2 linked regions of the Arabidopsis thaliana genome follow. The protein of the gene in region 1 interacts with the protein of each later gene in a pairwise test. Each region holds a gene or a part of one and is shown in the gene's direction. Other genes may lie near its edges. The genes, in order: GATA26 and AT2G42660.

The links.
Region 2: the proteins of GATA26 (region 1) and AT2G42660 interact in a two-hybrid assay, tested with the Arabidopsis thaliana proteins (one large-scale study listed by BioGRID).

The regions. Positions count from the first base shown.
Region 1 is NC_003075.7:9,780,358-9,792,998, reverse strand, and holds GATA26 (GATA transcription factor 26), read left to right. Parts: upstream 1-5,500; 5' UTR 5,501-5,836; exon of another isoform or gene 5,837-6,024; coding exon of another isoform or gene 6,025-6,064; intron 6,065-6,353; 5' UTR 6,354-6,354; coding exon 6,355-6,430; intron 6,431-6,634; coding exon 6,635-7,015; intron 7,016-7,095; coding exon 7,096-7,495; intron 7,496-7,589; coding exon 7,590-7,662; intron 7,663-7,776; coding exon 7,777-7,880; intron 7,881-7,963; coding exon 7,964-8,153; intron 8,154-8,228; coding exon 8,229-8,349; intron 8,350-8,434; coding exon 8,435-8,670; 3' UTR 8,671-9,111; downstream 9,112-12,641. Other genes in the region: AT4G17585 (aluminum activated malate transporter family protein), read left to right, coding at 1-22, 301-476; AT4G17580 (Bax inhibitor-1 family protein), read left to right, coding at 1,854-1,940, 2,064-2,103, 2,191-2,335, 2,459-2,542, 2,643-2,829, 2,924-3,082, 3,169-3,210; AT4G17565 (F-box protein (DUF295)), read left to right, coding at 9,355-10,491; AT4G17560 (Ribosomal protein L19 family protein), read right to left, coding at 11,247-11,355, 11,750-11,883, 11,973-12,059, 12,227-12,544, 12,627-12,641.
Region 2 is NC_003071.7:17,761,968-17,772,553, reverse strand, and holds AT2G42660 (Homeodomain-like superfamily protein), read left to right. Parts: upstream 1-4,174; 5' UTR 4,175-4,295; coding exon 4,296-4,518; intron 4,519-4,603; coding exon 4,604-4,680; intron 4,681-4,760; coding exon 4,761-4,800; intron 4,801-4,877; coding exon 4,878-4,992; intron 4,993-5,085; coding exon 5,086-5,215; intron 5,216-5,306; coding exon 5,307-5,489; 3' UTR 5,490-5,504; downstream 5,505-10,586. Other genes in the region: AT2G42670 (2-aminoethanethiol dioxygenase, putative (DUF1637)), read left to right, coding at 1-55, 138-344, 432-550; AT2G42650 (Ribosomal protein L1p/L10e family), read right to left, coding at 5,906-7,024; AT2G42640 (Mitogen activated protein kinase kinase kinase-like protein), read left to right, coding at 8,846-8,913, 9,137-9,165, 9,262-9,620, 9,752-9,946, 10,192-10,365, 10,474-10,586.

The DNA.
Region 1 (12,641 bases):
GTCCTCCTCGAGTTCTTTGCCGGTAAGTTATATACTATTTATTATTTTTACTAAGATTGTATAAATATTCATTTCACAATCAAAAGTAAGGTTACACAAATGAATAGCATAACCTATACATGGTCCCATGCCAAAAAAAAAAGTAAAAGTTTACTAAACATGGAAGCATACACATTCTTGAATCCAAAATTAGTTCACTCCTTAAGCAAAGATGCTCTTGGAAGAAGAATTGAATCAAGATCTAAAGAATCCCTAAAGTGAATTGGGAAGAGAAACAAGAGCGAAAGAGGGTACATACAGTGGAGGGCTTGACGATAAGCGAGAAAGTAATCCTTTCGATGGCAGCCCGAGGCAGAGAATCAGCTGCGGAACCACACGAGCGGAATGAGGCAGGCAATGTTTGCCACTCTATCAAGTTCCTCCCGAAGTCAATAGCACGGGCAAAGCAACATCATGTCCTTAACCAGCCATACTAGCATCACCAGCCGCTAAGACCAAACCCACATGAACCTTAACCTATTTCGACGCTTAACATGGAGCAAACACTTATCTGAAGCAGAGATCTAACATGAGACTGAGCCTTAGTGCAACAAGGAAACAATGAACTTGGACGCCAAAGCAGAAAACGAGCACGACATGCCCAAGAGATGCAAGGAGATACTAAAGGCATTAGCGATCTAAGGCAGCCCTCAATCCTTTGATCAAGTATAGCCTTAAAATCTCCATCCTAGACGAAACTCACAAGAACAGCCTGCTGAAGCAAACCTAGTCTCGGACAAGAAGCAATATAGTAAGTTATATACTATATATCTCCTTATATACATACATTTATTACAATCAACAATAAACCTACTAATTGATGTTTAATTTCATTCTAATGGTTATAGGAGCGGCTGCTACTTATATAAGATTTGTACCATACATAAAGAAGAATTACGATTACGGTGTTGTGATATTTCTCTTGACGTTCAATCTATAACGGTTTCAAGCTGTCGAGTAGATAGTGTGATAAACATAGCACACGTCACACGTACAATAGATTTTACACTATAGCTATTGGTTGCGGAATCTGTCTTTTCATGAGCCTTCTTGTTTTTCCTATTTGGTCTGGTGAAGATCTACACAAGACCACCGTCGGTAAACTCCAAGGCCTCTCTCGCTCTATAGAAGGTAATTCTCGGAAATATCATTTCTATGATTTGTTAACATTAACACCAAACTTATAATTCCAAAAATATTACTTAATTTAATCTTTTTTAATATATATATATAATTGTGTTTGTACGTATATAGAATGTGTGAATGAGTACTTTGAAGAGAAAGAGAAAGAAAAACCAGATTCAAAAACGAAATCTACGAAGGATATCAAGCTGTTTTGGATTCTAAATCAACTGATGAAACACTTGTAAGTCTCATTTTTTTATATATGATCACTATTTCAAGATTTTGTTTTTGGTAAAAGATAGAATTATATGAAATTAAAATGGAACTATTCAGGCATTATATGCAAATTGCAAATTATATGAAATTTTAAGCCATATTTCATATTTGGAGAGACGTGTTGTAAGAGTTAACATGTTGAGGGGAAAAAAAAAAAAAACAGAGTTAACATGTTATGTCGTTTCTTTCTCCGAAACAGAAACAACGTAGCGTTTTTGCACTCTACTACAAGTACAAACACACTATCAAAGAAACTAACAGTATTGATCATGGGCTCGTATTTAAAAGCCCACCACACCATGGGCTTGTTAGCAAAACAGAATTGATTTATTTGACCGTACTATAAATATGGAATTTGAAGTCTCTGCATTTGAAAATTCTCTTCTCTGAAGCATTATCAAGCAAAAGCAACAATGGAGGCGAACGGTACGATTTGGAGCCATGATTATCTCAGAAACTCTCATGAATTCTCTCCGGCCGTGCAGAATCATCTTAAGCGGGTAACGTCTTCATAATCTTCCACGAAAAGTTGTTGTTGTTTCTTGGAATGAGATTTGTGATACGATTGATTAGTGAATCATTTCGTTTCAATGCAATAGTTTGTTTCGTGATCTTGTTTTCAGTTTTGTATTGTTCTTGGTTCGCATCGTTGTGTTATTGATCGTTTGTATTTATTAGTGAAAAGAAACGCACTTCTTTGAGAGTTTTTATTGGTGTTTCTTGATTCTATATATGTTCGTTAAGTGTAAGTCTATCTCACGTTATTCTTTGCTCTTCTTGCGTCTGCGATTGGAGCTTACATTCACATGGTCTGGAATATCGGTGGAAATGTCAGTACTCTTGGATTCAGTGGAATCATGATTTGGTTGCGTTTCACTCTTTATGAACCTAACATGTGGGTTTCATTCATCACTTACACTTATTTTTCTTTGAAGATGAGTCCCTAACTCTGAATATCTTACAGTCTTGTTTAACTCAATGAACTTTATCTAATGTTTGCTTTTGATGCAGCGAAAAGGCTCTACCTTCTGTTTCTATTTGCCCTTCTTAAAGGTGCTTCAGTTGGTCCCATGATCATGCTAGTCATTGATTTTGACTCAAGGTGATTTCTATGTTCATGTCTTTAAAAAGAGACCTCTACATAAGCTTCTACGCTCTGTCAGTGTTGAATGTTTGTGTATACGGTTCCTTCTTTAAACCAGCGTCCTGGTCACTGCATTTGTGGGAACAGCAGTAGCATTTGTGTGTTTCTCCGCTGCAGCAATGTTGGCAACGCGTAGAGAGTACCTTTACCACGGAGCTTCACTTGCTTGTTGTATGTCCATCCTTTGGTGGGTACAAATTGCCTCTTCCATCTTCGGAGGCTCTACAACTGTCGTCAAGTTTGAGGTAAAAACTCTGTCTTCAAGAGGGAGAGAATTGTATGTTTGTTTTCGATAGAAGAGTACTTGCTTGTATTAACATACATTCTCATCATTTGCAGCTATACTTTGGACTCTTGATCTTTGTGGGATACATAGTGGTGGACACACAGATGATAACCGAGAAAGCACACCACGGTGATATGGACTATGTGCAACATTCTTTTACCTTTTTCACTGACTTTGCTTCTCTATTTGTTCAAATTCTCGTTCTCAACATGGTAAGTTCTTCCCTTAAACCCTTGGTGAGTTCATTGTTACCTCTAATGTCTCTCTATCTAATACAATTTCGTCTTATTTTGTGCAGTTTAGGAAGATGAAGAAAGGAAGAAAAGACCGAAGAAACTGAAACCACCAAATCAAAGTCTACATAGCTCAGAGTTTTAGTCAAATCACTCTTTTTACTTCTCTTTGACTAGTCTCTTTGCTATCATAAAAACTTCAGATTGTAAACGACTTTGTACTCTACTCTGGCTCTGGCCTTTACTGTCTAATATCAAATTTATAACAAAAATGCAAGTTAGGAGAAAGTCATAAGTGTACATGTTTCAAGAACTATTCCAATGTTTGGTCAAATCTTATGTTCTATTTGGATGGTTTAAAATGAGTAAACAATTTGATCTACAGTTTCTAGTATGAGTGAAAATTAAGATATTAGGGAAAATACTAGAGACTGTAACCACACTTTTTGTCTATGAGTCTATCTTACATTAGAAAGAAGCTAGTTGATATTTGATACTAAAATAATTTTCTGCTAATGGACATTGTTGCCATAGTAGTTGTGTTGCTGTTATTATTAGCGTATGAAAATGAAAATGGGTTTTGTAAATTGTGATTTGTAAGCACGATTGGGGCATGACTTTTTGTGTTTGACCTCTAATAGCACTCCAATTCTCATCGTCTTTTCTCAGCCGTTCGATCATACCTCCATCATTTTGCCTACACCTCTCACACCATTTCATTATTACATTACCATCGTTTCTTTTAAAAAAAGAATATATAGATCAGAGATGTGATTGGCATCTGAATTTCTGGTTACACTATTTTAAAATTTGGTAAGACTACTCTTCAATTCGGTCTCTGACACATTATTCTTCAGTTTTCGTAACTAATGCTCCATAACATTTTACCAATCACATTAGATTATATCGTTTACTTAAGAAAAAAAAATAGAACTATTTTTGTTTTCTTGTGTTTAAGATAAATTTTTTGGAGTAATGCTATCACTCGATAAGTTAACTTGGTTCGGTTTATTTACGTTGAATTGAGAATTCTTTATTGGTGCATTACACTATGTACGAAACCAAAGAAAAGAAACACAAAGAACTAAAGATCTCAATACATATACTACTAGTTAAATGCAAAAGAAAACCGAATATTATAATAAATTACACGTATAATATAATGTATGGTGTTGATATCGCATTAGTTCCCTAATCACATTCACAAATTACCAAAGAAACATAAGTAGGACCCATGTTTTGAATATCTTTAACTAAATCAAACGGTGGAGGGAGGAGTTGTGTCCATGATCGTCATGGTGGACGGTGACTTTACATACCATTTCTTTCTTTTTAACTTTGTTTTTTTTATGACACATATTTATCAATAATTTTAGTCTTTTCTTTGTTATAAGAAAAATATATATACCCCACTTAACAAAACTTATTCTACCAGCATAGTATTGTCACACATGTAAAAAAATAAGCAAAAATAACCTAATCTCTTAATCTAGTCGTTGACAAAACTTTAGTATTTGCTAAGTTATAAATAAATAAACAAGAACCCAATTATAAACCTTATTCAGCAAATCCAAAGGCATGAATAAATCTACCAATCGTTACGGTATTTAAAATACCGTATTGTACTATAGATTTATACTTTCACATTCTGTCGACACATTATTTTTTCTTGCACAACATTTTTTTTTTATTATATTTTTTTCTTGCAAAACATGAACAATATTATTGACAAAGAGTGTATGTATCTTATATAGTTTTTTTTTGATGTAGTTAATAATTTTAGAGAAAAAAAGCTTACCAGTGCTTTTTTCTTCCTCATTTTTTTTTCATAGTCATTAATATTTATAATTGTCGTTATTATATTTATTATACATGTTGGAAATATCAATAGTAAAACAAACAAAGAAAGAAAAGTCTATAGTCAACAAGAAGGATGGAAGCATTAGGCATAAGCAATAATATTCCTCCTACCCAAAATAATACTCCTATAACTTTTATATTAAATCTGATAGTCATAGATCTCATTTCTTGTTAAACTAATTTTCTAAAATGAAATCTCAAAATTTTATGAAAGGATGCTGAAACATTTACTTTCAAAAATAACAAAAGAAAACAAAATGAAATGAAAGTGGCCATTTTATGTCGACTAAAAAAGCCATTTTATATGATGTCAACAAATAAAGCCATTATATGCTGAAGTAATTTTTTATTTTTTTTTATCTAAAATGAAATTGAAAGGAGGAAAAAAAACATATTTCTTTTTTATGTAAGGAAGCTGAAACAATTAATTTCATCGTTACATAATAATAATGCAAATGAACAAAAATAAAAATAAAATAAAAAGAGAGACCATTTTATTATTATTATTATACACAAACAGTTTCTCGCTCTAAACCCTCAAAGTTGTTCTCTCTCTCTCTCTCTTCTCCTTTTTCACAGCCATTTATTAGATTCCTCTCTCACAATTAGTCTCTTCTCTTTTCTATTGGATTGTTGTATTAGACTGATAGCTCAAGGAACCCAAAAAACAAAAACCAAAAAAGATAACATAAATTATCTTCTTGAAATTGTTCTCTTTCTTGCTTTGATTTTTTCAATTTTCTTATACTGAGTTTTTGTATTTCTGTAAAATTTGCTTATAGGAGACTTTCTGGGTATCTTGGCTTCAATTTGCAGAAAACCAAAAAAAAAAAAAAACTTTTTTTCTGGGTTTTTTTCCTTAGCAGAGAAAAGGTTCTTAATAGTTTTAAGACTCTGGTTTTGTATATTCCAATTATAGCTGAATATTAAACACAATTTATAAAACTTAAATTTCTTTCCAAAAAATCTCTTCTTTTTAAGTCTATAAAAATTGCAACTTTCTTCTGAAATTATTCATTTTTGAAAAACACAAAAGAAACAAAGAGAGAGATAGAGATATTATGGGGAAGCAAGGACCTTGCTACCACTGTGGAGTTACAAGTGAGTGTCTCCAATTCCTATTTGATGATGTGAAAATCTGTATGAATATGAATATTCAACCTTTGTTTTTTTTACTTCTGGGTGAGATGCTCTCTTTTCTGGGAAAATGATTTGATTATATGCTTTTTGTGTAGCAAATTGTAATAATGATTGAAGTGATACAGCAAAGACTTCCTGGACTCAAGAATATCTATGAACATTTTGGAATTATGTTCCTTTAACTATATATATTGTTTCTGTTGAATGATCTTAAGTAACAACTGTTTGTGACTTGTGTTGTTGTTCTCAGTATGATTAGAACTAATGGATTAGGCAACAAAGACATGATCTTGGGATCTGAATTTGTGTTTATGATTCGCAATTGTTGTACAAAGAAGCTAAATTTTGTTCTGGTTGCTGCTTAAAGACTTTAAGATGTTTGGTGTTTTGAGATCATTGTTCTTCTGATTGATTTGGAGTTTGAATTTGCAGTATTAAGTCACATTTCAAGTGTTGTCTGATGTTGAACTCTTATGTTGTCTTGATTTCAAAGCTCAAATTTGTGAAATTTTGTTTCTTTCATTGAAACAGACACACCTTTGTGGAGAAATGGACCACCAGAGAAGCCGGTATTGTGCAATGCGTGTGGATCGCGTTGGAGGACAAAGGGAACACTTGTGAACTACACACCGCTTCATGCTCGTGCTGATGGTGATGAGAATGATGATCATCACAGGTTTCAAAGAATGAAGAGCATTTCTTTAGGCAATAAGAACAAAGAGATAAAGATGCTCAAGAGGAAAGCAATTCAAGAAAACATCATCATTAAAAGACCGGTCTTTGAATTCAGTTATGGTTTGAAGGCGGCTGTGATAGAGGAGGATGCTAGTAATAGATCGAGTTCCGGTTCGGCTGTATCAAACTCTGAGAGCTGTGCACAGTTTAGCAGTGCAGATGGGAGTGAGTTAACAGGTTTAGTTACTTTATTATTCTTCCGGTTGATCAACAATATGGGATTTTTAAAAGTGTCCATGTGAACTTTGTTTTTCCAGGTCCATCTCAATCTAATGCGTGGGACACAACTGTTCCTTGCAAGAGGAGGACGTGTGTGGGCCGTCCTAAGTCCTCTTCTGTTGAAAAGCTCACAAAGGACCTTTACAATATTTTACAAGAGCAGCAATCGTCATGTCTCTCAGTTTCATCAGAGGAAGATCTTCTTTTTGAGAATGAAATGTCAATGGTCTCAGTTGAGATTGGACATGGGAGTGTTCTGATGAAGAATCCCCACTCGTTTGCTCGGGAAGAGGAGTCTGAAGCCAGCTCACTCTCTTCGATTGAGAACAAGTCCTCCATCAGTGACGCATACTCACATTCCGTGAAGCGTGTTGAGATTGGAGCAGTGAGAGGTTCATATTATGGTGGACAAACAATAAAGCAAGAACAATTCAAGAGGTAAAGTATTTTTATTGTATCTTCAAGATATTCTATACATTAGCTCTCAGTTTAGTTAAGGATAATAATGGATCCTGTTTTTAATGGTTGGCAGAACCAAGTCTCAAACTGAAAGAGTGCATGTCCTGGGGAGTCATGGTTCACCACTATGTAGCATAGATTTGAAGGTAAGTTTCAAGCAACTCTCACCAAGTCTGTTCAATAAGTTAAATATTTGCATATGAAAGTCAAATTTTTAAAAATGACTCCAGGACAATGCCTAAACAATAAACTTCTTGCAGGATGTTTTCAACTTTGATGAGTTCATAGAACAATTCACAGAGGAAGAACAGAAGAAACTGATGAACTTGCTTCCTCAGATTGACTCTGATGACCTTCCTCATAGGTTCAAACCGCATTGCATTTTTTCTTAAAACAACTAAACCAGACCGTACAAAATTTATAATCTGTCATATTATGCCTTTGCAGCCTCAGAATGATGTTTGAAAGTGCTCAGTTCAAGGACAACTTCTCTTTGTTTCAGCAGCTCATTGCTGATGGTGTCTTTGATGTGTCTTCTTCCTCGGGGGCAAAACTCGAAGAAATCAGGACTTTTAAGAAGCTTGCTTTGACAGATTTTAACAAATCTCGTTTGGTGGAAAGCTATAACCTCCTCAAGGTTGGGCTTACTCTCATTGAAACACTGACATAATAATAACTTTTGGCCAGAGATTCACCGGATATGTGACTACAGGAACGCGAAAAAGGGACCGGAGATTCTGTTACTACAACTTCAAAAAGCTCAATCCCAAATGTACCTAAAAATATTGTAACCATTAAGAGGCGCTATGAAAACCAAATCCAAGTAAAGTCAGGTCAGTCTTAAGGACAATTTCAATCAGTCTTGCTGATTCTGCAATCAATCTTTGTGGTTTGTTGAGTTTCTTGTTGTGGTCACAGAGTCAAGGGGGCTAATGAGGAGCCCCAAAAGGGTGATGAAGATGAAAGCAAGCCATGAGACAGAGAACAATGTCTCATGCTTCAGACCAAGAAGCTTGGCTTCTGTGTTTGCACAAGAAGGTGGCTCTGCAGTGTTTAGCTATGAAGGTAATTGCAGTTCTGATCAAGATCTCCTTCTTCTGGACTTGCCGTCAAACGGGTCATTTCCTCAAGCAGAGCTACTTCACCAACTCTGAAAGGTCAAAGCTACAAAACCTCATTGAGCTTCTCAGAGCTTAAAGGAAGGATTCTTAAGCTCTCTATCTCTCTTCTTTGATGAGAGATATACTCTTAAGCTTTCTGAGAAAACGACCAAAATGAGGTTTCTGCTTTAGAAATTGGAATTTGCAGACATAAAAAAAGGAAGGATATTTATTTGAGTCTTGCTTGGGCTTCTCTTTGGTGGTTAAGTTTATAAAGTGGGTCTTATAATATACATACATATACATAAAGCCTCTTCTCTTACCTCTCTTTCTGTGACCCTTTTAATTTTAAACTTGAAAGTTCCATCTTTTTTGGTTTCTTATCTTTGGACTTTTTTAGTTTCTGCTTTTTTTTTTGTATAGGATGAAAAAGATACTGTAATATCATGTAAACTTCCGAAAATGCAGAAAATGGAATACATGAGTACTACTTTATCAGAATTTTGGGAGTAATGCAAAAATACCAAGAGTTGTCCAAACTAGAAAAGAATACCTCTTTTCCTTTTTCCTTTTTTGTGTATGTGAAAAGATTAATGCAAAAGACGTTGATGCGCTTGCTTTAGTATATGTATAAACACTTTTTTATTTTATCTTTATAATCAACTATCAACTTTATAATTCTACCACTTGAATTACAACAAATTTTCAGTTTTAACGTGTTTTCTTTGAAATTTAGCAATGGACCAAAGCGACAAGAACCCTAATCGGCGGCTCCGAGTGATTCCCAAGTGGTCGGAGCTTTGTCCGGACTTGTTACGAAGTATTTTCGAACAACTGAGTTTCACAAATCTCAATCGAGCAAAATTAGTTTGTAGGTCATGGAACTCTGCTTCGAGAGGCTGCGTTCCCAAACGAAATCAGATTCCGTGGATGATACTTTTCCCTCAAAAGAGCGAAAACAATAGTAGCAATAACTGTGTTTTATTCGTTCCTGATGATAACGACAAAGTTTACAAGACTCGAGATCTCGGTGTTGACTTTGCACAAAGTATTTGTCTTGCGACTTACGGTAGCTGGCTCTTGATGTTTAACCATCTTCGGAATCTCTACATTCTTAATCCATTGACGTTAGAGAGGATTGATCTACCACATTCCACCTCTATCAATCCAAATATGTGCTATCCAAACTTCAAATACTACCGATCAGCTTGTCTCTGGATAAACAACATAACCAAAGATTACCTAGTTGTTTGGCCCATCTATAACAAATGTTTTTTTACAAAGAAAGGTGATGACACATGGCGATTCGCTCCCGCTTGTCACATTCGGATGAAAGATCAAATTATCTATAATCACAAAGATCACAAGGTTTACCAGTATGCTTCCTATGGCTTTATCTATGTTTGGGATTTCTCTAGTGATATCCCTCATGTAGATAAGCATCTACCAGCTGTTAGCTTCATTTCTGGCCGTGAGATTGGTGACAAGAACAAATACTATAGGATAAGTCATCAGATGGTGATGTCATTGTCTGGAGAAGTTGTGGTGGTAAAAATAATGCACTACTACGACCTCTCAAGATGGCGTTTTCGCATCTTCGAGTTAAATCCTCTGACGCAGAGATGGGTAAAAGTCGATTCTTTAGGTGATGCGGCTATAATCTTGGACATGGGTATCACTGTTGTCGCTAAAGATATTCCAGGGATCAAGAAAAACTCCATTTATTTCAGTGGCCTCAACCACCCCTTAACGGATCCCGAATGTAGATTTGTCTATGATCTCACAACCGGCACCATGGAACCTTTGCCACAATGCGTTCTCTCCTCCATGCTCTTCTCTGATTCTCGATGGTTCTTACCTGGTTTCACCAGTTAATTGGACATGTTTCTGCTTCTTGTTCCATTTTTTTTTGTTTTTAAATTATTAATACCTTTGCTTTTACTTAGTCTTTTGATGGTTAGTTTCTTTGTATTATGCATATGTTTTAGACTTCATGACTTCAAGGTGTTACGTGTTTCAATTATCTTATTTGTTACCAGTAGTAATAGTTTGGTTAGAACTTCGATGATAGAGGTTTTGGCACACTATGATTCGAATCTCATTATGTGACCCAAAAAAAGAAAAAGAAAAACAAATCATAAGGGAATTCATCGACCACATCCTAATACAGTAATATCTATGCTGAATGATTCATAGAGATTAGGGTAATTTAATAATAAAAAGTTGGGTTCCACCTTCACAAGATCAAAATTCAAGATTCGAATAGTTGAGACGAAGTCCCAAAAGAAATAAGACGAGAACATGTCTTCTGTTTTTGTTCCTGAAGACCCTCAAGAGTCAAGACACACCAAACAACATATGCACAGAACACAGACTCATTCATACATAGTTTCTATTAAAGTATGGACTTTAGGTCATCCTAAGCCATATATCATTCATTATCAAACAAGGAACAGGTCTACATCCATCAACCGGAAGTTCAACTAATCTTAATTTACTTTCTCAGAAAATGTGCAGGGAATGACTTACAGGCTTAAAAAAAAGAAAGAAAGAAACAATTCTTACAAAAAAAGAGCACAATGCGGAAGATTACTACCTCTGGAGGTCAAACACAGCACGGTGGATGGTGTTCACTTGAAAGTGGACAGACGAGGAAGCTTGTCCCTCAGATAGTAAAGCCTTGCTCTTCTTACTTTCCTGTGACTCACCACTTTTATCTCTTTGATGTTGGGAGAGTATCTGTCAAATCAAACGATTAGGAGAATCAACACATACCAAACACTTTTCTTAATTCCCACATGGTAAGAAAATAACCGATATATCACAGGAAGTTTCTCGAGACTCGTATGTTATACAGCAGAATGAAAGATAGTAAACATGAGCAGACATGATAGTTGCCATAGTGATTCAGGCTGCCATAACTGGGAAGGTATAACAGCAACTAAAGACTTATTACAGTAAAACCTCTGCACAGAGTCTAACTATTATACAGGGACTTTATGTAAGGTAACACAAAGTATAACTCAGTATCTATGTATAAACTTGGTTTTATTGAAAAGCTCAGAACATGTGAAAAGACTCATAATCAAAGTAGGTCATACCAAATGGTCACTGGAGAGGGGAAAAAACTCACATGGGAAACACAATTTCAACACCGATACCCGCAATAATTCTCCGAATACGAATGGTAGTGTGTATGCCTGCATTTTGTCTCGACATCACTATGCCTTTGTAGATAGATAGCCTACGTTTGTTCTCAGGAACTTCCTGCCAAGCCAAACACCATATCCCACCAATAATCAAAAACATCGATTCAATCCATAACTTAAGAGGCTTCAAAAATATCAACAACTTACCAATTTGATTTCTACAATATCTCCTGTCCTGATTTCTGGAACAGGTCTCACTTTCTCTGCTACCTCAATTGCTTTCTGGTTCAGTATCTACAACAATCAACAGATAATAACATTCAATCTCCCTCAACATTGCCTATAAGATAACTATAGAAAAAGCAAGTCCCTCAACACAAATGTGTACACAGAGACTTACTGATTCCTAATTGCTAAACACTCATAATTTGGATTACTGATAAACAAAGAAGTTCACTAACCCCCATGACATCTCCGAGCTTGATCCTAGGTTTTCTTGTAGGTTTAGCTTCGACCACTTCCTCTACATTTCCTTCCGTATCAGCGATTTCAGCAACAAATTCTTCAGATTCAGCTTCTGTGTTACCTTCTTCTGCTCTAACGATAAACTCATTTCTCACCCTAGTATCGAGTGAGAACCCAAATTTCGAGCCGGGATGATTCAGAGAAAGCCTAGAAACTGATATACGAGAATCCATCGATGGTGCACACGATAGAAACGAAGAAAACCCTAAATTCTTCGATGATTGCGTAGGGTTTCTGGGTATCATATGCAATGCCTAAAAATCCCATAGAAACAAATAATCAACAATAATGAATTAAGTGAAAATAGAGATTTCATAAGCTTTCGTATATTTAAACCTGAGGAAGACGATG
Region 2 (10,586 bases), on another chromosome or scaffold:
AAGTCATATGATTGGCTAGAGCCTCAACTGACCGAACCAGAGGATCCATCACAAGGTAACCGTCTTCTTTCTGTTACTCTCTCAGTTTTTATCCAATCACTCTTCTGGTCTAATTGTAAACTATTTTGATTCATAAGAAGCAAGACCTGCTAAACTGGTGAAGGATACTGAGATGACGGCTCAAAGCCCAGTAACAACATTATATCCGAAAAGTGGTGGCAACATTCACTGTTTCAAAGCCATCACCCATTGTGCTATTCTTGACATCTTAGCTCCACCTTACTCTTCAGAGCATGATCGGCATTGCACTTACTTCCGGAAATCCAGAAGAGAAGACTTACCAGGTAATACAACTAAGCTCTCCAAAAACCCGATCCCAGAACCATATTAGAACCTTTAGTGATATTGATTTGGATTGTGAACTGGAGCAGGTGAATTAGAAGTGGATGGAGAAGTGGTCACAGACGTGACATGGCTTGAGGAATTTCAACCGCCTGATGACTTTGTGATACGACGAATTCCGTACAGAGGTCCTGTCATTAGAACTTGATGATGATCTAATCTTTACTTGTCACATAATTTGGGCGGCTTCGGGTTTTTATTTTTTATTTATATTCCTTTCGGAAATAATTTGGGGGGTCTTTTTATATTGCAAACGGGATTGTACATACTAATTTGTGATACACCGTGTGTCTCCGTTTCATTATATTGCAAAAGACTTCTAATGGTTTTTAGTCTTCGGTACTAGACTTCTCTAATGGTTGTGTTTACAAAATCCTTAAACCTCGTTTTGCATAGTTGTGTTTCTTCCTTCATATGGTAAGGTCACACCAGCATAGAAGTTGCCCCGATACGCCCAATTTGTAGGTTGTGCAGTTGGTAACTAAGTTGGGATTGATTTGGAAATCGGAGTAAAGTTCATGGGATGTGTGATCTTACTGTTTTTAAAAAATAAGGGAATGAAATGGCGTCGTTGGCTTTTTCTAAGTCTAACAAAGCAAAACTGAACAAAAAACAAAATCACATTCTGGCTACTACGTAAGACTAAATCCCATCTCCCTCTACCAAGCGGCTGGCTGAGTCTTTATTACGTAAGGACTTAGTGGATATTATCATAAAATTAGTGGATACACTCTATTTGCTTAGTGGATTTCAATGGAATTTCATTCCTCTCGTTTTATTTTTTGGTCAATGGATAAATTAGCTCTCCACTTTATCCATTTCGGTTTTCATGAAGAAAATCAGAATTATCAATTATTTATGATGATGAAGTTGAACAACCAAACTAATTCATAGAATCATAGTGGTTTATATGTAGTTGAAGCATGGGCTTAGGGACTAGGATCCAAAAAATTTGCATTGCGATTTCAATACTAGACGTCTTAAATGGTAAGAATATCCGATTTGTAATCTACAGGGCAAATGAGAATAGTCTAGATTTTGGTCCAGATTCTTTGGTTATAAAAAAAACAAAATGTTTAACAACGAACATTGATATGGTCCCAACCTAGACCTAGACCTAGACCCAAAGACCAGGATTATAAAGAGAATAAAGAAAGCATTTCGGGGTAATCATGGTTGAAAATTGAAATAGATGAGCCCGTTCCTTCATGAGTAAAGTTTATATAATCGTGGAAATTTTTAACATGCTGATTGAGGTGTGATACCCTTTGATCCCAACCGCTTTGAACGCAAGTACGCAACCACGAACAAAAGTAAGCATGGAAACAACTTAGAAAAGATCAAGAGAAACCATTACTATGTTACGTTATTAATTTGTTAATTGTTACTCTTCATTATAATGCATTTTTCTTATGAGTGTATAAATAAAACTTTTGAGAAAAGAAGATCGAAGCTAATAATCATGGTCCTAAAGATACGTAGGCATGTGATGAGGAAGAATTCAAAGACGGTGCCTCATTTTGCGGCGATTCTTTAGGGCAACATGCAGAATTTTTTAGCTTCTTGCATGCATAATAAATAAATATATCAACTGGATCAACGTCCTTTTTACATTTAAAAATGGTTTTGTGCATATAAAACGTCCTTTAGGGAAACAGTTGTTATATTTTTTGTCAAAAAATAAATGGTTTGTACATATAAAACGTATCTAGTAAACATTCACAAAAAAAAAAATCCTCTGAAATGGTAAAATATAAAAGAATTTTCTTGGAAGAAGTAGAACTCGACAAAAGATTCTCTTAACCAAAGAAATTCATGTCGTTTAAAGAAATTCAAGAACTATTGAAACAATTTGAAATTATATATTCCATAAAAAGAGAGCATGGGAAATGGAGGAATTGTGAATGAAGTGTCGGTACGTAAACAGGTTAGGACAAAACAAAGTTTCCTCATCTTTCTTAGTGCCCACATGAGCCTCTACGATTCCTTCTCTCCCATCAATGCTCTCTTCAATCTTAGTTAATTACTTCGAATGTTTGTCCTATCTTCTCTTCTCTCTCATCTCCTATCTTTCTTTCTCTCTCTATCTGTCCATAACCCTAGATTTGAAGATCGAGGGCGATCATGGTAAAAGACTTCATAGAAATTCTATAACATTCAAGCTGTGTTTATATGAATACGAGCGTTGAAATTTGATCCCATCGCGTTTTCATATATGTTCCAAAATGCTTGTATAGATATGTGTGTGCATAGACATAGAGTGTCGGAAATTTGCATCGGGACGATTTATAATTAATTTGGTGTAGGGTTTGAGGTCCTTATTAATTTCACATAAAACTTGGTTCAATTTTGTAAAAAGTGTTTGTACTTATTTTTCTTGATTTGAAACTTATTTTGAGAATTTATGATTAACGACAGCTTATCTATGTTTACAAATACTAATTCAACTCACAAGATGACAATAAAGACAAAGATTGCACTCTAGAAAGAAAGTTGCTTTGCCTAATTTGAACAATTAAAAAATTGCATTCAAAGATAATATACCCGTAATTATTTATTAGTTACCTCTCTCGAATTATATACTGATTGGTAAGTTGGTAAGCCCTACAAAAACATATAGTTAGCCAATTCTCGAAGAGAAACCAAATACTAATATATGGAGGTGTGTAACCCAATGCCCATTGAAAAGGGTCACCAATAATAAAACCAAAAAGATAAAGACAACTTCTGTTTTGTACATACGTGAACTCAAGAATCTTTGGGAATCACATCCTTAACCATTTGACAAAACTCCCTTCTCTCTTAAGTTTTTATTTAAATTCTGTTTTCAAACGTTGGGATTGAAGACCGTCATGTATTTAACCTAAGTATATGAGAAACATGAATATAGATCAATAGCCATCATGATAAAACCAAATGCGTAGAAACGTAATTCATTCCACCACATAGTAATCGGTTGAGAGGTAGACAATAGTTTGTACCTTTTGTCTATCAGGGTTCGAATCAATCGGCTTAGATCGATAGTTCTCATGTTCCGTTTGAGTTCCCCAATGCTAATCTGATTTTTATTTTTTTAAGTTGTTTTGGAGACACTCAAAAACGTGGTTTAATATGACAAAAGGGTAAAGCGTAGTCTCCGGCAAAGGTCAACTTAATTGGAAATTATTAAAGAGAAAATTGTTAGAAAAACAAGAGTGGTTTGGTCGGATTGAAATGTTTGATACATCATTCACAAAACAACAATTCTAATGACACAAAATATTCGACTGCCAATTGTGTATACATATAGACTGGACTATTTGAACCAATATGCTTGATATCAAATATATGATTAATTAACCAATTTAAATAGCCTAGCCATTGTCACATGATATATATCAAAGGCACGTTAGGTAAACAGAAGATGTTTTAAGAAATGGTATAGTTTTTGGAATCTGAATTCATATTCAAATTCACCATATTTAAATCTTGTTTAAAGAAAGATATTATTTTTAAGAAGTAAAGGAGATAAGTTTACATGTCATTGTCACTAAAAGAACAAACGGATATTTTTCTGGTATGTTAACAAAAATGAAGCAAAACCTAATAACTAATGTGATTTCACCAAACGGAAGATTCCAACACACTTTTCCATTAAAAAAAAACATACAATTATACGTAAACATGCATGACATAGATAAGAATTTTATATATCTATATAATTATATACTATAGTTTACGACAAATAAGACTATATTATATACTTATAAGTGTATATATATGATTATAGCTAGTATTATTGAAGCCAACGCCGAAATTATCATAGAGATTTAACCTCTCTCATGGGTTTTTTTTTGTTTGTTTTTGAGTAATTGATCTCGAGAGCTAGCTAAAGACACTCTCGCCGGAGAGACATGGCCGGGAGATCTTCGCCGGGAAAATGCTCCACGTGGCTTGACCTGAACAGAGAAGAAACAGTGGAGAAGAACAATGAAGAAGAGTCATCAGTGGAAGACGAAGACCAAATCACGAATAACGTTAGACAGTATATTCGGTCCAACATGCCTCGGCTTCGTTGGACGCCTGATCTTCATCTCTCCTTCGTTCGTGCTGTCCAACGACTAGGCGGTCCAGACAGTAGGATTCTTGTTCTCTCTCTCCACGTCTCTTTCTCTCTTTCTCTCTCTCAGCTTTGTAATGTAATTGTTGTATGATTTTAAAGGAGCGACGCCGAAATTGGTTCTTGAGATGATGAATCTAAAAGGATTGAGTATTGCACATGTCAAGAGTCATTTACAGGTAATCTTCATCGTCTGTTATTCTAAGATTATCTCAGTTTTGTTCATCTTTTTCAATGTTTTCATGTTTCTGATTTCAAGATGTATCGAAGTAAGAAGCTCGAGCCGTCTTCTCGCCCTGGTAAGTTAGTTTTGATCCGCAGACATTTACCATTCCTTCACTGGGTTTCATAATTGATGGAAATGACTTTTGAACAGGATTTGGAGCTTTCATGAGTGGACAAAGAAGCTATTTGATGGACATGATCGACTCTCGATGTATCCCTCATAGCGATTTAAGACATGCCTATAACTCTAAAACCGTTCCTTCGAGGTCATACAAAGAAACAAGTTCCAGTTACTAAAATGTTTCACATTTGTATATCCGATCCGACCAAGGAAGTTAAAATTGCATTCTTTTCTGTAGGGTACTCAATCAAGACGCGGTCGTTACAAATCTTGGAGGTAACTTTCTTATGCGACCTTCGAGCTGGTTTAGCGGGTTATGCAGAAATGACCGAGACAGCACAGAGAACAAGACTCTGCCTCTACTCGAGGTAACTACCTACTTTCGTTTTAAGAGTTATAGAGGAACAGTTTTGTTAAAAACCGAGGAAGGTACTGTAATCTTGGTGAAATCTTATGCAGATTAGGAAGAAGAACAATGAGAAAAGAGTCCGAGATGAAGAAGTATCATCAGTCAAACGATTGAAATCAATGTCCGGAGGTGGGATACAGTTGCCTGAGTTTGGAAATTGCAGGCAAAAACCAACAGATGATATCAACACAATGCTCTCGCTCTCTCTGTTGTCGACATCATCAGAACCGTAACCAACATACTAGAGAGATGAAGTTTAACTTTAAAAGAGATTCAAGAGTAGAGACTTTTGTTTTCCTTAGCCGTTTCATGGGATGAGTACTTAGCCAGGATCTGGATCAGGCTTGAGTCAGATCCTGCAAGTACTTATCCTTAGCGGTTTCTCTGCATTCAATACAACACCAATTCTGGAATGCAACAAAACACATGTAATAATATGTTTCCTCGTCAAAACCACCAAATCAACTACATGGCAAGTCACTAGTTTGATGAAATAGTAAACGATAATAAAAGTCCTAAATATATAAGAATCATGATGATGATACCATAATAAGACAAAGTCATAATCAGTATCCAAAAAAATCACTCAAGCAGAAAGAATAGAATACTTAGTTATAACGACATTAATATAAAATCTTCTTTTCTTGGTTCACCTCCTCTTAGTCTTAGCTTTGAATCCACCACCAGACTCATCAATGTCCTTCTTTAGCTTTTTCGACTTTTGCCCATTCTTACTCTTCACAATGTCTGGTTTCCCACTCACTGCAGACTTACTACTACTCATCTTCTTCCTCTTCTTCTTATCTCCAGAAGCATTGAGATCATCAGCAACCTCATCTTCTCCAACACTCCTATCGAATTCATCATCACCAAGAGTCTCAGATACATTACTATCCATATATCTAACCTCATGAATCTTTCCATTCTTCTTCTTTGTCTTCACACTCTTACTACTACTATCATCAACATCACTTTTAGCTAATCCTTCACCATTCTTAACTTCTTCAACACCTAAAGGATCAATCTTGAGCTGCAAATAAGGCACTGTCTGATATAATGGCAAAGATAAACTCTCAGATAACTTCAAATGCAAAGATCTTATGTATTTCCACCTACTAGGCAAAACATCAACAACACCATTCAAAGTCGCCGTCACATTCTCAACGATATCATCGCTTTCCATGGACAATTTCGCAACTTTGATCGCACTACAAGACCCAGTCCTCATGAAGAACATAGCAGCACCACAAGCTTTCTCAATCTGCTCTTTCCAATTCATATGCTTCAAATCAATAGCCACAGGAGTCTTCTTGCTCTGAAAGAACTTCTTCCCAATCAATTTTGGCAACATAGGAATCACTCTCCGATCTGAGAAAAACATATCGTATGAATCACAAAGCTTCCGTTTCGATTCGAATGATCCATAATCCGATTTCAGCTTCGAAAGCTTAACAACTTTCGTGATTGGTATGTTCTCTGATTTGATATTCTTCTTCGCATCTTCCTCGGTGAGACCACTTTCAGGTCTGTCGTCGATGATGAGACAGAGCTCCGGTGAGTCTTCGGTAGTGTTAATTAGCGGATGCGGGAGAGGAATACGATAAGCGTTCGTAAAATTCCTCTGTGGAATCTTCTTTAGGGCTACGACTAGGTAAAAGAATCCGTCTTCTTCTAGAAGCTGTGGCTTCTCCGTCCTTGATTTTTCGTTTCCCTCTTTGACCAGAGCCTTAACTGCATCGTCCACAGTCTTGGGACTTACTCTTGACATAAGTGGTGGCGGCGGTTGCGGCTGAGCTGCGGTGGTCGGAGGAAAAGAAAAGTTATTTAGGGTTCTGTGAAGGAAGATTCAGGGTTTACGGAGGACGATGACTTTTAAACGAGTTTGTTTTGGGTTTCTTAAGGCCCATAATATTGGTTAATGGGCTTAATTATATTGTTTTCATAAATTGTCCTCAAGTTTTTGCATCGGAGAAATCTTTTCTATTAAACGAGTTTGTTTTGCGTTTCTTAAGGCCCATAATATTAGTTAATGGGCTTAACTATGTTGTTTTATAAATTGTCCTCAAGTTTTGCATAGGAGAAATGTTTTGAAGATTTTTTTTTTGTGTGGTAAGAGAAACTTTTAGAAGATGGTAATTGGTAAGATTTAAGATATAGGAAATTATGACAAACTAGCTTATTTTATCAATACATGAAATCTTTTTTATTTCATGTTAATGTAGATATAGATATAAATTTAAAATATGAAATTAATTATATAAAATATGAGTCATGTAGTACTTGGCTGTCATTTACCATACTTGTCTAAAACGTACTTACCAAATATATTTGATGCTAATTTTTATATACAAAGAAATAAAGTATATACACCTGGACAATATAATTATTAATAAAATTGTTTTCTTTATTTTCAAGTTTTTATTCCCTTCGCAAAATGTCTAATTCCTCTTATAGCTCTTCAAACTTTAAAAATAAATATTTCTTTAAGAAAAAAGTGAGAATCACATTAATTGAAAATGTCAATATTTAGATAACCAAAACAAAATTCTCAAACACTTTTCTTTATGTAAGTACTATATAAATGGAGGGATTTCTTTATAAACCAAAATGTGTGATATCTTATTGAGTTCATTGAGAGAATACATGAAATGATAGAAATGTCAGGTTTTTGACAAACAAAGAAATAGCCGCACTGCCAAACACTTTGATGATCTGTTGTTGTTGACGTGTAAGTATCATAATCAACATCAATATTGAAGTAGGATGAATTCTCTTGAGTCATTCTTATTGCAATCTTTTTCGAAGATTGAATACATTCGTTGATTTTCTATTATACTCTTTTCAAAAAAAGTTCATCCTCATTTTTCATCAAACTCTTGTTAGATTCTTGTTCATTTACATCATCCTCTTTTAAGAAATCTATCTCATATGCATGAACAATCTGATAATATATTGTCATTCATAGTGTAATGACTATCAAATATGTATCTTGTTTCGAAGATCTTTGAGATAGAAATGGATGACAAAAACAATCCATGTAGGTAGAGGACAAAATTGTACTTATGAAATATATCCTGTGAATAAGTGCTTCTCGGCACGTGACTCATAATCCCTCGCACGTGACTTGCTTCGTCACTTTCGTAAAACCCCTTGACTGTGTTTTTGCTTCTTCCGCCATCAAAATCAAAACTTTCAAAACCTCCAAAATCCAATTTTTATCTCATGAATCTCTGTTGCAAATCTCTATGCATATACGTACACATACTCTATATGTGTGTACGTTTAGCTCTTTGTTGCTTGATCATGGCAATCTTCAGATCTCTCTTCTGTCTTTCTCTTGTTTCGCAGTGCGATTTAAGCAGATTGATTGCTGGATTTTGGAATTGGAAGGACGTTTATCTGCTTTCTGTGAGTTTTTTCATAAACCCTTATTCTTCTTTTGCTCTTTAGCCTTTTCTTATATGATTTTAGACCGTTTGGTTTATGGGTTCTTGTGTGTTTGAATCCATCGAAGTTGGTGGGATTTTATTTTGAAATGGGTTTTGAAATCTATGCAGGAATTTGAAATTTTGCAACCGAGGACTTGAAAATGGGAGCTAAGTGTTGCAGAGGTCACCGAGGATCAGTGGTGGAATCAAATGGTTCCGTGATCTTGTCGTAAGTTCTGAGGCTGAATTATTGAAGTGAATCTCTTCTATAAGTATCGAAAAGTCCAACACTTTGAATAAGTTTTGTAGCCAGTCTTTGAGAATTGTCTACTAGTTAAATGCTTTGATAAGGAATATATGGAATGCAACTTAGTATGTCACTGAAACATTTATTTCTGCAACAGTATATCCGAGTCTATATTTACTTAACCATTCTGCTTTTGCCTATGTAGGTTAGCTGACCTAGAGGTCCAAGCTACTGGTAAGCGAAGTTTGATTCTTAATATTTTGGTACCTACGTTATTCGTCTTTTCTTGAGTGAAACCTATGGGCTAAGGAGACACTCTTGTGATTTTAGACCTTAGGGAGATGACTGTGGTAGAGGCAAGAGATGCTGCTGGACCATCAGAACCAAGACCTCCAAGTCCTACCTTGAGGCCTTCAGAAGTTGAGGAGACATCCGAGCCTGTATGTCAGGGATCACTAGTAGAAACCTCTAATACTGATGATGCTGGACCATCAGAACCAAATCCACCAAGTCCTACCTTGAGGCCTTCAGAAGTTGAGAAGATATACGTGCCTGTATGTCAGGGATCACTAGCAGAAACCTCTAATCTTGATCAAGATGGGGTGTCAAGTTATGAAGCATCGAATATTTTTTGGAGTACTGGGTCCTTATCAGACCCGATCCCAAGTGGTTTTTACACTGTGATCCCGGTAAGCTATCTTTAGGTTGGTATTATCTTTGTCCAATAATATTTCAGTTAGCTTTATTAATGCTTGGTTACGTGCTGCTGTTTGTCAACAATCATTTTCTTATCTTATTATGTTGTTGAATTTTTCAACAGGTTGAGAGATTGATGCATTTTAAAAGCATTCCTACATTGGAAGAAATTAATGCGCTGGGGGAAGATCGTCTTAAGGCTGATGCGATTTTTGTAGATCTTAAGAACGATATACAGCTTGTTTTGATAAAGGAGTTTGTCATCAAACTTGTCACAGGATTGGACTCCGATAAAGTTATTAAGAAAATTGCTGGACTGGTAAGAATGGGCGAGCATCTTTTTATCATCTCATTTTCTAGTGAACTAACTTTGGCGACAATGCATGTCATTTTGTTACTTTATCTTATCGCTGCATGCAATAAATATTTGGTTCTGAATAAGAAAACAAATAACTGTAATCCCATTTATTAGACTCTTAAGGCACATCACATTATTTCAGCAACCTCATTATATTCTTTTAGATTATCGGGAAATCTGAATTGGATTTTTCCTTCTTATGGCAGGTGGCAAATATATATAAAAGAAAAACTCTGCAGAGTCCGGCAAGAACGCTGCAATATTTTGACGTTCAAGGGTTTACCCTGCTAGGACAAATCAAGCATGGTTCTTGTCGTGCACGAGCAATCCTCTTTAAAGTTCTAGCTGATGCTGTTGGTCTTGACAGTAAGCTTGTAATGGTATGTACTGTATAAAAACGTGATCAGTGGCTTTGGTTATAACTCCAATTTCCTCATGTCATTGATTGGTTCTGATAACTTGGCATTTCGGTTAAATTTCTTGATCAGGGTTTCCCTACTGATCTGAGATTTTCTGCTAGCATCGACTCATATAATCATATCTCTGCTGTGGTTGAGCTCAATAATGTTGAAATGCTAGTCGACCTTAAGCGATGTCCTGG